2 linked regions of the Caenorhabditis elegans genome follow. The protein of the gene in region 1 purifies or fractionates together with the protein of each later gene. This does not show direct contact. Each region holds a gene or a part of one and is shown on either strand. Other genes may lie near its edges. The genes, in order: T28B8.4 and C15F1.2.

Region 1 (4,941 bases):
TTACTTCCAAAACTAATGGAATATGCCAATGAAGATGACTATGATCTGTCAGAAGAAACATATCGTGACGTGGATATTACTCAGAACTCTGCCCTGATTATTCATGACTACATGTCAGTTTCTTGGATTAGTCATATGTTTTTGGATGAAATCTTGAAAGCATTGGGAACGGTACGTTTTGTTACAGTTGGGACGCAATTTGTGCAACTCGTAGTCTCTGTATTGTTCAGGATTAAATTAAAATATTTCGGGAAAATTCCGATTTTAAATTGTAACATGTTTTTCAGACATTTCACTCGAATTCGTGGCATGTTAGACTGGCTGTCATCAAGTTTGTTCAAGCAGCTGTCTACTCGAATATTTTCCCGATGAGCCAACAATCAAGACGAGATGATATTGAAAAACTTCTGTTCCGTGCAGTTTATGATCGCGAGGTGAGAAAAACGTTTGAAAAATGCAAAGAGTTCAATGATTTACTATTTTAGATCTCGGTTCGAAAGGAGGCTGCGAAATGTCTTCTACTATTTATTCATTGCTCATATATTCAATTTTCGGATCAAAAAATTGATAAACTCGCGAATATTCTTCAATCAGAAACGGAACTAGAAGCACGTGCTCATGGTGCATCATTAGCTCTTGGAGCATTTGTACTGGCCTTCCCATTTTTCCTGCCAACTAACATCATAAAGCCATTGAGTCTTCTGAGCTCGTCGAGTTCAAATCAAGCAGTTGTGAAAGTGAGAGAGTTCACTAAAAACCTTGAATTTTCTGAACTTACATAACAAAGTACTTTCAGAAAACGATGACGGAAACAGTGCGAGAGTTCCGCCGTCAACACCGTGATGATTGGGAGGAAACAAAAAAAATATTGGGAGACGCACTGACGTTTGACATTGAAAACACAACTGCCCCGGCGTATTATGCATGAGAATAGAAATGATGTAACGACCGTATGATCTCGATTTTATTGAAAAAATGAATTATTTTTGAGAAATTGAATAATGGCACAAAGCAACAACAACAATAAACACCGCCGCCCGACCCAAAACCATCAAACGCCAAAATGCCGACACCTTGAACATAAATATTACCAACGTGACATTGAACCTCATACCGTATTTCCTCTATTAGTTAGGCACCTCTATTAGTTTTGCACTTCCATTAGTTTTGCATCTAAAATCACTCATCGAAATTTAGTTTTGTACTCTCTTTTAGTTTTGCACCTCTAATAGTTTTGCAACCCTTCATTTGTTCCCTAATTTTAGGAATTCAAAATTTGCATTATAAAATCGTTCTAATAATTAGGAAAACTCTTACAGACTTGGTATAACTAGTCAAAATTGGCAAAATATGAGAACAACTCGGACAATTGTTGCCTATCAGTCGTAAAATTCGTCCATTTTGGTTCATAAGTTGTTATTGAAATTGATGATATTATGTCATAATTTAAGGGAAAACATGAGAAAAAACCTGTTCGAAAATTAGTTTTGCACCCTCTATTAGTTTTGCACCTCCATTAGTTTTGCATCAAATTAGGTGTCCGGAAATTAGTTTTGCATGCCTTATTAATAGAGGAAATACGGTATGTTATTTTTGACCTTTTCCTTTTCATTAAACTCTGACGTGCTTTTTCTGTAAAAATAAATATTAGTCATTTTTCAATATTTCAACAATTTATCCGCGGTTTTATTGCACTGTTTTCGGGCAATGGTAAAGGTGAGTAAATTATATATATATATATATATATATATATATATATATATATATATATATATATATATATATATATATATATGTTTTTTTAATCTTTTACAATCTTTTGTTGAACATTTCAGGTTAGAGACAATCCAGAGCCGGTCTCTGTGAATGCTGGAGATAATTTGAAAAAATTGATGGCGAAAGATTATGTGAGACCATCGAAGCAGTCAATTTTCTTGCCATATTTTGAAGAGTAAGTTGAATTTGTCGACGAACTGATACGCGTCACAGGGGTATTGTCAACGTGTTTTAGTTGCTTTGTAACCAAATAATTCAAGAAAACTATTTTCAGACTTGAATCAGAAGTTGACACAAACTTCGATGACATTGTCAATGGCATGATGGCTGGATTTTTGACTGAGAATACGATTGAAATTGAACAATACAGAGAAATGTTCCAAACTCACATTCGACAGTTTGGACTTCGAATGTCTAGAGAAAAATTTCTGAATCTCGTTCGATTATTTTACGAAGTATTGATTAAAGAACATCAACATCACGATATGATTAGAAGTGCTTGTGGTGCATTTGTTGAAATGATGAATCTTGTGAAACCAGGAACGTTTGGATGGAGGGACCTTACATTGAATTGGTGTCCACTTTATCAACTTTACAATCAAGTAGTTCATAATAAGATTAAGCCGGATATAGCTCTTTATTGTAATCAATCAATCAATTATTTTGCCATGTTCTATGATCCATCAGAACATCAAGCAATATGGGAAAAGCTTATACAAGAAATTTCAATTGGAAATCAGGCTCAGACCGAAATGTTCATTGGATTCTGTTGGATGTTTCTCTCGACTTGTGGAATGACAGAAGAGGTGAGTTTGCGGGCGAAAAATATAATAGAACTTTAAACGAATTTATGGGCGGAGCATAGATAGTCCAATATGGTTGTTTTCGTGCCGCTCGTTTCATTGTGCTTAAAAAGGCATTATACGAAAATTGCGAATTATCGAATAGAATTTTCCATTTCACTTTAAAAAAGAGTCACAAAATATGTCAACTTTTCAGGATATCAAAAAGTATGCGGTAAACACGTGGATCAAGGAATTATGGGAAATGTATCTGAAAGCTGAAATGAATACATCATGGACTGCTTACTGTCTTGATTATATTCTTGAGTGAGTTATCAGATTATGAAACGTTGCACTTTTCTATCAATCATTTTTTAACCTCTGTAGTGTCTTTCATGTCTTTATGTTCAGAATGAGCATGTCCGCACCGGGAGCATTCGATTTGAGTCCTTACTACGATGTGCTGTACACAAAAATGATTCGTGGTCTCAACTTGACTGTACGAGAAGGAAAATTGGAGGTTGGTGATGGACAAGAGAACGGCTCTTCTGCTCATTTGGCAGCTCTATGTGCATATACGATTGGTGGTCCGAACTCGTAAGATTTGTCTGCTATTAAAAGTTTCAAGTTTAAAAACATTTAGGTCACTCGCTCATTTCCAACGTCTAATGCGATATATTTCATTTAACGTTCATCCACTGAACTTTGGCGATCACACGAATCAAATTAGCTGTTTTCTTGTATACTTCATGTCATCTATTAAAGAACGATTGAATACGGAGCGCTTGAGTTGGAAGAAAAGAAATTGTTCAAAGGAGTATTATTTGAAAGACTCTGATATTGATGAAATCACCGAGTCGGTTACAGATCTTGCCATTATGCTCATGTTTAACGACCAAAATGTGAGTCTTTTGATTTTCAGGCATTCACTCTGAAATAAGATCAACAATTTGAAATGTTTGAAACTGTAGAAAATCCGGGCTTGTAAAAATTTTGCAAAAATAGGCTCCTAATGGACGTACCTAAGAAATCCCAAATTTAAAAGGGTTATGCATTTATGTCTGCCTCATCATAACTGAAAATCAGAATGTACTGCACAAGCACAGAACATGCTCTTTGTTTGTAGTTTGATTATTCTATCGATCGATTTATTTTCCAGGATTATAAGCTGATCAAACTTCTAACAACTGTTAATCGCGAATACGTGGCTCCAAAGTTACTCAATCAGTAAGTATAACGGTACTCTATTTGAAACATGTCCAGTAAGTATATTATTTCAGTCTTTATTCCTCCCTCACCGCAGTTAGTGAACCTCATCGATTGACAACTCTTATTGAAGCATTCACTTTTTTTGTTTATGAGATTATTCGTACACCAGATGCAGAGTACCGTACTCCACGTAATATAGTCTATGACTCAAAATGGTTGATTTATATGGAAGAAGAGCGAAAATCATGGCCAACTTTTCATCTTGGTAGCGAAGTTCCGATGGTTAAAACCCATAAATTCACAAGTCTCCGTGCTCATGCATTTTACATTTTGGAGATTTTTGTGAATCAGATCAATGTAAATGATGTGGATCGAACAAAATTTGTGCTCAAGACTTTGGAAATCTTGTTCTCATCTTTTCCATTAATGGATTTCTCAGCAGCTATTAAATTTCATGAAGAAAAAATGTCGAATGACGATCGATTGATATGCCTTCTATCAAAACGTGTACCATCTCTTGTTGAGCATACTCTTGAGAAGCTTCTCGAAGTGATCACTTGCTTGTCAGTCGAAGCACCCAACACTTCCGATTCAACTGGCGGAGTTAGTTTATCATTGGAATATCAGAAGCATGGCGATGATGAGATGGCTTTGACAGGTGGAATCAGCAGTTTGGTTCGAGTTGTCTTTGATCGAGTTGATGATAAGATGAGAAAGGTAGATTATAAAAATGTTTTCTTTGTGAAACTCTGTATATTTTTAGCGTCTATTCGACCGACTTTTGGTTTATATTTCTACATCTGAATTCACAAGCTATCTGGCAACAGAGACTCTATCAATGTTGATAAGCAGTGCCGTTTGGACATGTGGAAAAGAATTCCGACGCTATGCTGAATTCATTCTGAAAAAGTTGAAACTTCTTCTAACAGGTTTACATTTTTAACAAGAAACAACTTTATATTTTGCATACACAGTTAATTTGCGAGGTGTTCATAATGAACCTCGCAGCTTTGGCTTTTTATACGCACGATTTGCTGTGTATTTTGCAAAATTTGTTTTTTCGTTATGTGTAAATCCAACACGATTTCCGATTTTCAAGCATCCAGTTTCAAGCACCCCTTCTTCGATCAAGCTTTTCAAGCTTTCAAGCAAATTTTTTGAAAGTATTTTTTAT
Region 2 (5,273 bases), on another chromosome or scaffold:
TGATTTCATATATTCCTCGAGAACGCGCGCACCTCTTGCCCTTTTGGTGTAGTGGTTAAGCGCACGGTCTTCAGATACAGTCATTGCTGGTTCAAATCTGGATAGGTTCGGTTTTCTTTTACATCGGTAAGTGTCCTGATATAAGCTTTCAATGTGTTTTTTGGATCACGAAATTCTCTTGAGAGCTCTTGTCAGCATACGCATATTCAAAACGTCAGCATAAGCATATTTCAAAGGTTTCAGCATAGGATAGTTGGCAATGAGATTTTGCAATAAAATGTGTCCAACTGAAATGTTGTTGGCGATAGTGTCAAAAACATTTGGTTTTTTTAGGTTTCAATGTTTTTTTTTCGATTTATGAAAAAAAATCCAAAGGGTACCCCTTAGAAAAATTTTCTAAATTTTTTTTTGAAAACTTTTTTTGAAAACTTTTCAAAATTTGATCAGATGTTATAGAAAAATGCAATGTTTGTTTTTTATCTAGTTTAGATGTTCTGAACACGAATTCAGACTAAAACCTGAGGTATAGTAGAACCTCAGAATTCAAAAAACGCACTCACTTCGGATGCTGATATCTCCGTGTAATAATGTTTTATGACAAAGTGATCAACTACAAAGTTGTTTATCTTAACATAAAGTACAATTTTGCAGTTGATCGTTTTTTATCAAAAAATTGGTTGGATGAGATATGAACAGAAAAAGAAGAAGAAAATACAAGCATGAAGGTGCCAAACTTTACACAACTTTATCTCGACCAACAAATTTTTTGATAAAAAACAATCAACTACAAAGTTGTACTTTAGATTAAGATATATAACTTTGTAGTTAATCACTTTGCCATAAATTTTTTTTCCACGGAGATATCAGCATCCGAAGTGAGTGCGTTTTTTGAGCTTAGGGGTTCTACTATGCCTCAGGTTTTCGTCTGCAATAGTGTGCAGAACATCCAAACTAGAAAAACGACAAAAATTGCACTTTTCTATAATATCTGATCAAATTTTGAAAAGTTTTCAAAAAAATAAATTTTGGAAAATTTTATTAGATAGAGGTAGTCAAAGAGCATTTATACATCAGATCTCATCTCCATTTTTTTCCGGAATTTTAGGAAATGAGAAAGAGCACGACCTTCTTAGACATCAAAAAGTAAAATGTTATTGACAAATCTGATTTTTCAGCGAAAAAAAACTGAGAATTCTGAAAAATTAGGTAAAGGTAGTCAATGAGCAAAGGTAGTCAATGAGCCGAAGGGTAGTCAATGAGCAAAAGGTAGTCAAAGATCCGAAAGGTATTCAAAGATCTAAGATAGTCAAAGAGCAAAAGGTAGTCAAAGAGCCGAAAGGTAGTCAAAGATCTAAGGTAGTCAAAGAGCAAAAGGTAGTCAAAGAGCAAAGGTAGTCAAAGAGTGTTTGCCAAATATTTTGTCTTCCTTTTGCATTATTTTTCATTGCAAAGTGACAATTATTTGCTGAGTTACACAGAGTCAAAGCCATTTTACCAAAAATCGCACAAAATTTTGAAAACTGTTCTGCCGTACCAGTCATAACCCTGCATTCATTAAATTTCAGAAGGAAAATTTTAATGGATAGTAAGTGAAAAATATTTCTCCAAATTTTCTCAATTATAAGTTTTTTCATATTTTCATGTTCAGCCAAGTTACAGACCGTTCTTCGAAAAAATCCAATTTCGCTCATAAAACTCTTCATATCCAACGTATCGACTTGAAATTTGGGAAAATGATCACTTTTTTGAGGTCTCTACAAAGTCCTAAAAAATCTTTCAAAAAATCCTGTTAATCTCCAAAATCGTCCTCCGCTCCGAAAAATGAAATCGGATGTTTGCCTTTCGGAAAATGACCAAAAAATGAAATTGGGATATTGGGGTCGAAAAATATGTTTTTAGAATGCTGAAAACACGTTATTTACGAATTTCATGTTCATTTTCCATGAATTTTTGTTTTAAATGACCTGAAATTAAAAGATGAATCTAATTTTCATTATCACGTGACATTTATTATTTGCTTAAAAGCAACTAGTTTTCAACAGTTTTTAGACAAAGAATACGGTTTTATTCACGTGAGAATAAAAATAAGGTTCATGCTTCAATTTCAGCTCTTTTCAAAAAATAAATTATCAGAAATGAACATAGGATATTCATAAATACCGGGTTTTCAGTTTTCTAAAATATAAGTAAACATTCTGTAATCAACTTTTGCTTAACTTTCAAAATAAAGGAATGATTCAAAGATATGGATGACGCTGCTCATTTATCTGCATTTTGCGTGCAAAGTAGACTTTGAATAAGCCGTGTGTAAATCTTAAATAAATCTTCAAATAAATAACTTACTTTTCAATACTCGGACAACACTTTGCTACTTCTCCACATTGTCTTTCAATTCTTCGTTTCACTCCAGTGAAACAATGATTTGGAACATACGTGATAGTTCTACTGAAAGAGAATCTTGCAGGACGACCCAGAATTTGACATTGCTCATTCTGAAACTTTAGTTTATTATCCCATAATTCCTTTTTAATGAGTCATAGACAATCCCGAGACTTTTTCTTCCCAATCTTAATATCTGTAGATCAAGTCGATTAGGGTCATTGTCTCCGCTTTCTTCCCTTCCACCCCTTTTTCCCGTTTTCTCACCGTTTTCTTGTCAAGTGGTTGAACATTTTCGTTTAAACATGCAATCAGCTGACCGTCAAGCTCTTCTTCTAACCGTTCCAACTGAAATTATTGAGAAGTTCAGATGACCCTAGATTTAAAAGTTCCAGTAACTTACAGTATTATAATCATTTTTAAGTTTATGATGGCAGTCATAAGTATCCCTTCTTTCTGGAAGCCAATAAGGTCTCCATAGAGAATTTCCTAAACAAAGACGTTCTTCAAGAAGGGATACTGCTGCACATTCTACGAAAGCAGCACAATAATTTGATGATGGAGCAGGAGATGATGGATCTGGTGACTGAAATTTTAAGGGAATGAGGAATTGATTTATGAAACTAAATCAAAAGATTTAGCATTTAAAAGTCAATAATACTCTATTGGAAAATTAATTAGACTGATCGTAAAATATTTTCGAAAATATATAAATATATATAAACATATCTCACCTCATATTGTGCAAAAATCGATTGAAACAAAACTAGAAGAAAGAAAAGAAAAATCCGCATTTAGAAACGATTGACTGAAGACTCTGGATGTCTGCGAAAGGATTATAGGGCCACTGAAAGAAAAGATTGGGAGTAGAGAAAGGAACAAAAGTGAAAAGGTTTCTTGTAGGAAAAACTGTGAAAAGTGAGAAAATGTCATCGAGAATGAAAGTATTGCTCTCACTTTGATTTATATCAATTGGGTCTCAATGGATCGGAACATGAATCGGAATAATCGAAGCGTGTGAAAGTGAGAAATGGGGGAGGATGTAGGTGCGTGAAGGTCGTAGACAATTTTCAATTTTATAATAGGCGACAATTAGCTCTTTGCCAATCTTCGAATTTGCCAAATTGAAAAATTATTAATGGAAGTGAAAAGTCTACCAGAAAAATGTTCGAGAAAGAAAACAAAAAAAAACTTGCCCTTAAATGTACGTTTTGCGCGGAATTTGGAATTTGGAACTCGGAATTTTGCACAACTGTTTAAAAAAATAGAATTCTACTTATGTTTCTGACAAGCAACACTTTTTGATAAAACCATTTTTTTTAAACAAGATGTACATTGTCATAGTTGAGATTGAGCAGTTATAAAAAACAATGTATACATATATATAAACTTATATAAAACCAAAACTAAAGCTTTTTTGGTATACACAGTTTCCAATAACATGGTTAATATGAAAGTCATACAACCAAAAATAAAAAAGAAGAAAAAATAGCGATAAGATGGTTTCGCTTCGTTTCGGACCGGATAATGCACCCAACTGTTCATTTTTGTGGGTGAAGGTCGATTTGCTTAATACCCGACAAAAATGGAGAGAGAGAAGAGAAAATGACCCTCCTGGGGATTTTTTCATTCCGAGAAGATACCAATGTGTCGACCTCTTTAACAAAAAAAAGAGAGAGAGAGAGATGAGAAAACAGCTTATCCATCCGAGACGACACGAGACATACAATTGAAAGGTAAGGATGACGAGAACCGAAAAAACTGTTTAATACGAGCGAATATTACATACGCTTATTTACGAGCCGTCGTTATCGCCCGCTCCAATTTGATGCGGATGCGAATTGACACCAATTTCGAAATGAACGGATATTCAAAAAACTGGCAGAAGGAAAATGGGGGAAGAAGGAGAAGTCAATATGAATTTATACAGTTCACATATTGCAATTAGGACGGTTTTTAGTCATATTTCCCGAACTGGGTTGAAAATGATTTCATTTTTATTGTGGCAGTCTTCAATCGCGGAGAAGTTGTTTAGCTTTAACAAAATTTCAACTAATTCGTTTTCAAATAAAATCATATAAATATCGATGTGCATCTACCCAAAAGAGTGGTTTAACAAAGTCACAGGAAATTGATTTATTTGAATAAAAAAACAGTTATTCAAAAGAAATATATCTTGAACCATGAACTGCAACATAAATTACTGCCCAGTCAGCATCATCTACAAAAATCATGGTTGCATTCATTCCTTGAGAAAAGTGAATGTCGATGCCACCGAAAAAAGTATGCTTAATTTTATTCTCGCATGTATATTTAAAATTGTAAGAAATTCAAGTTCTGGTTTCAGACCGGCCGTCCAATGTCTTAGAAACAAATTTATATCCTTATCAGTTGAAAGTGAATTGTATGTGTGAAGGGATGAGCAACTTGTAAGCAACAGATCATTCAATGGAATTCCGATAAGTAATTTGAGTTCTCTGAAATTCCGGGGCAGAATTCGACGTTGAGCTAATAATTGTGCGGAGCTCAATGGCAGATATATTTCTCCTTCCAGAATAAGGCAATCAACAACACACACACACACACAACATTGATGATAGTAATCGTATTCTGCATTTGATTATCTAATTCAATCGTGATTTCTGAGATTCTTAGGCCTTCTAGGCATTCCTTCAATATTTCCAATCGCGACTCATCGAGTTTCCTATTCCGGAAATGAAAGTCTAGATCAATTTTCGATGGATTGAAGATATGAAGAAAATTATTCAATCAACTCCTCTCATCGAACTTTGCACTGCGACTTTTTTCGAACGAGGGACGAGACAAAAAGGTTTCTAGGCCATGGCCGAGTCTCCGACAAGTTTCAGCGGCAATTCATATTGCATTGTTTTCCG

Evidence for each region.
Region 2: the proteins of T28B8.4 (region 1) and C15F1.2 fractionate together in Caenorhabditis elegans (co-fractionation; one large-scale study listed by BioGRID). This does not show direct contact.

The regions. Positions count from the first base shown.
Region 1 is NC_003279.8:8,158,805-8,163,745, forward strand, and holds the start of T28B8.4 (Proteasome activator complex subunit 4), read left to right. Parts: upstream 1-1,663; 5' UTR 1,664-1,707; coding exon 1,708-1,716; intron 1,717-1,722; exon of another isoform or gene 1,723-1,800; intron 1,801-1,835; coding exon 1,836-1,951; intron 1,952-2,050; coding exon 2,051-2,582; intron 2,583-2,775; coding exon 2,776-2,885; intron 2,886-2,969; coding exon 2,970-3,155; intron 3,156-3,201; coding exon 3,202-3,460; intron 3,461-3,717; coding exon 3,718-3,785; intron 3,786-3,838; coding exon 3,839-4,484; intron 4,485-4,530; coding exon 4,531-4,696; intron 4,697-4,941. Other genes in the region: T28B8.3 (DUF3437 domain-containing protein), read left to right, coding at 1-171, 288-434, 486-737, 797-928.
Region 2 is NC_003280.10:6,977,906-6,983,178, reverse strand, and holds the start of C15F1.2 (uncharacterized protein), read right to left. Parts: upstream 3,227-5,273; 5' UTR 3,174-3,226; coding exon 3,114-3,173; intron 2,966-3,113; coding exon 2,783-2,965; intron 2,728-2,782; coding exon 2,647-2,727; intron 2,493-2,646; coding exon 2,344-2,492; intron 1-2,343.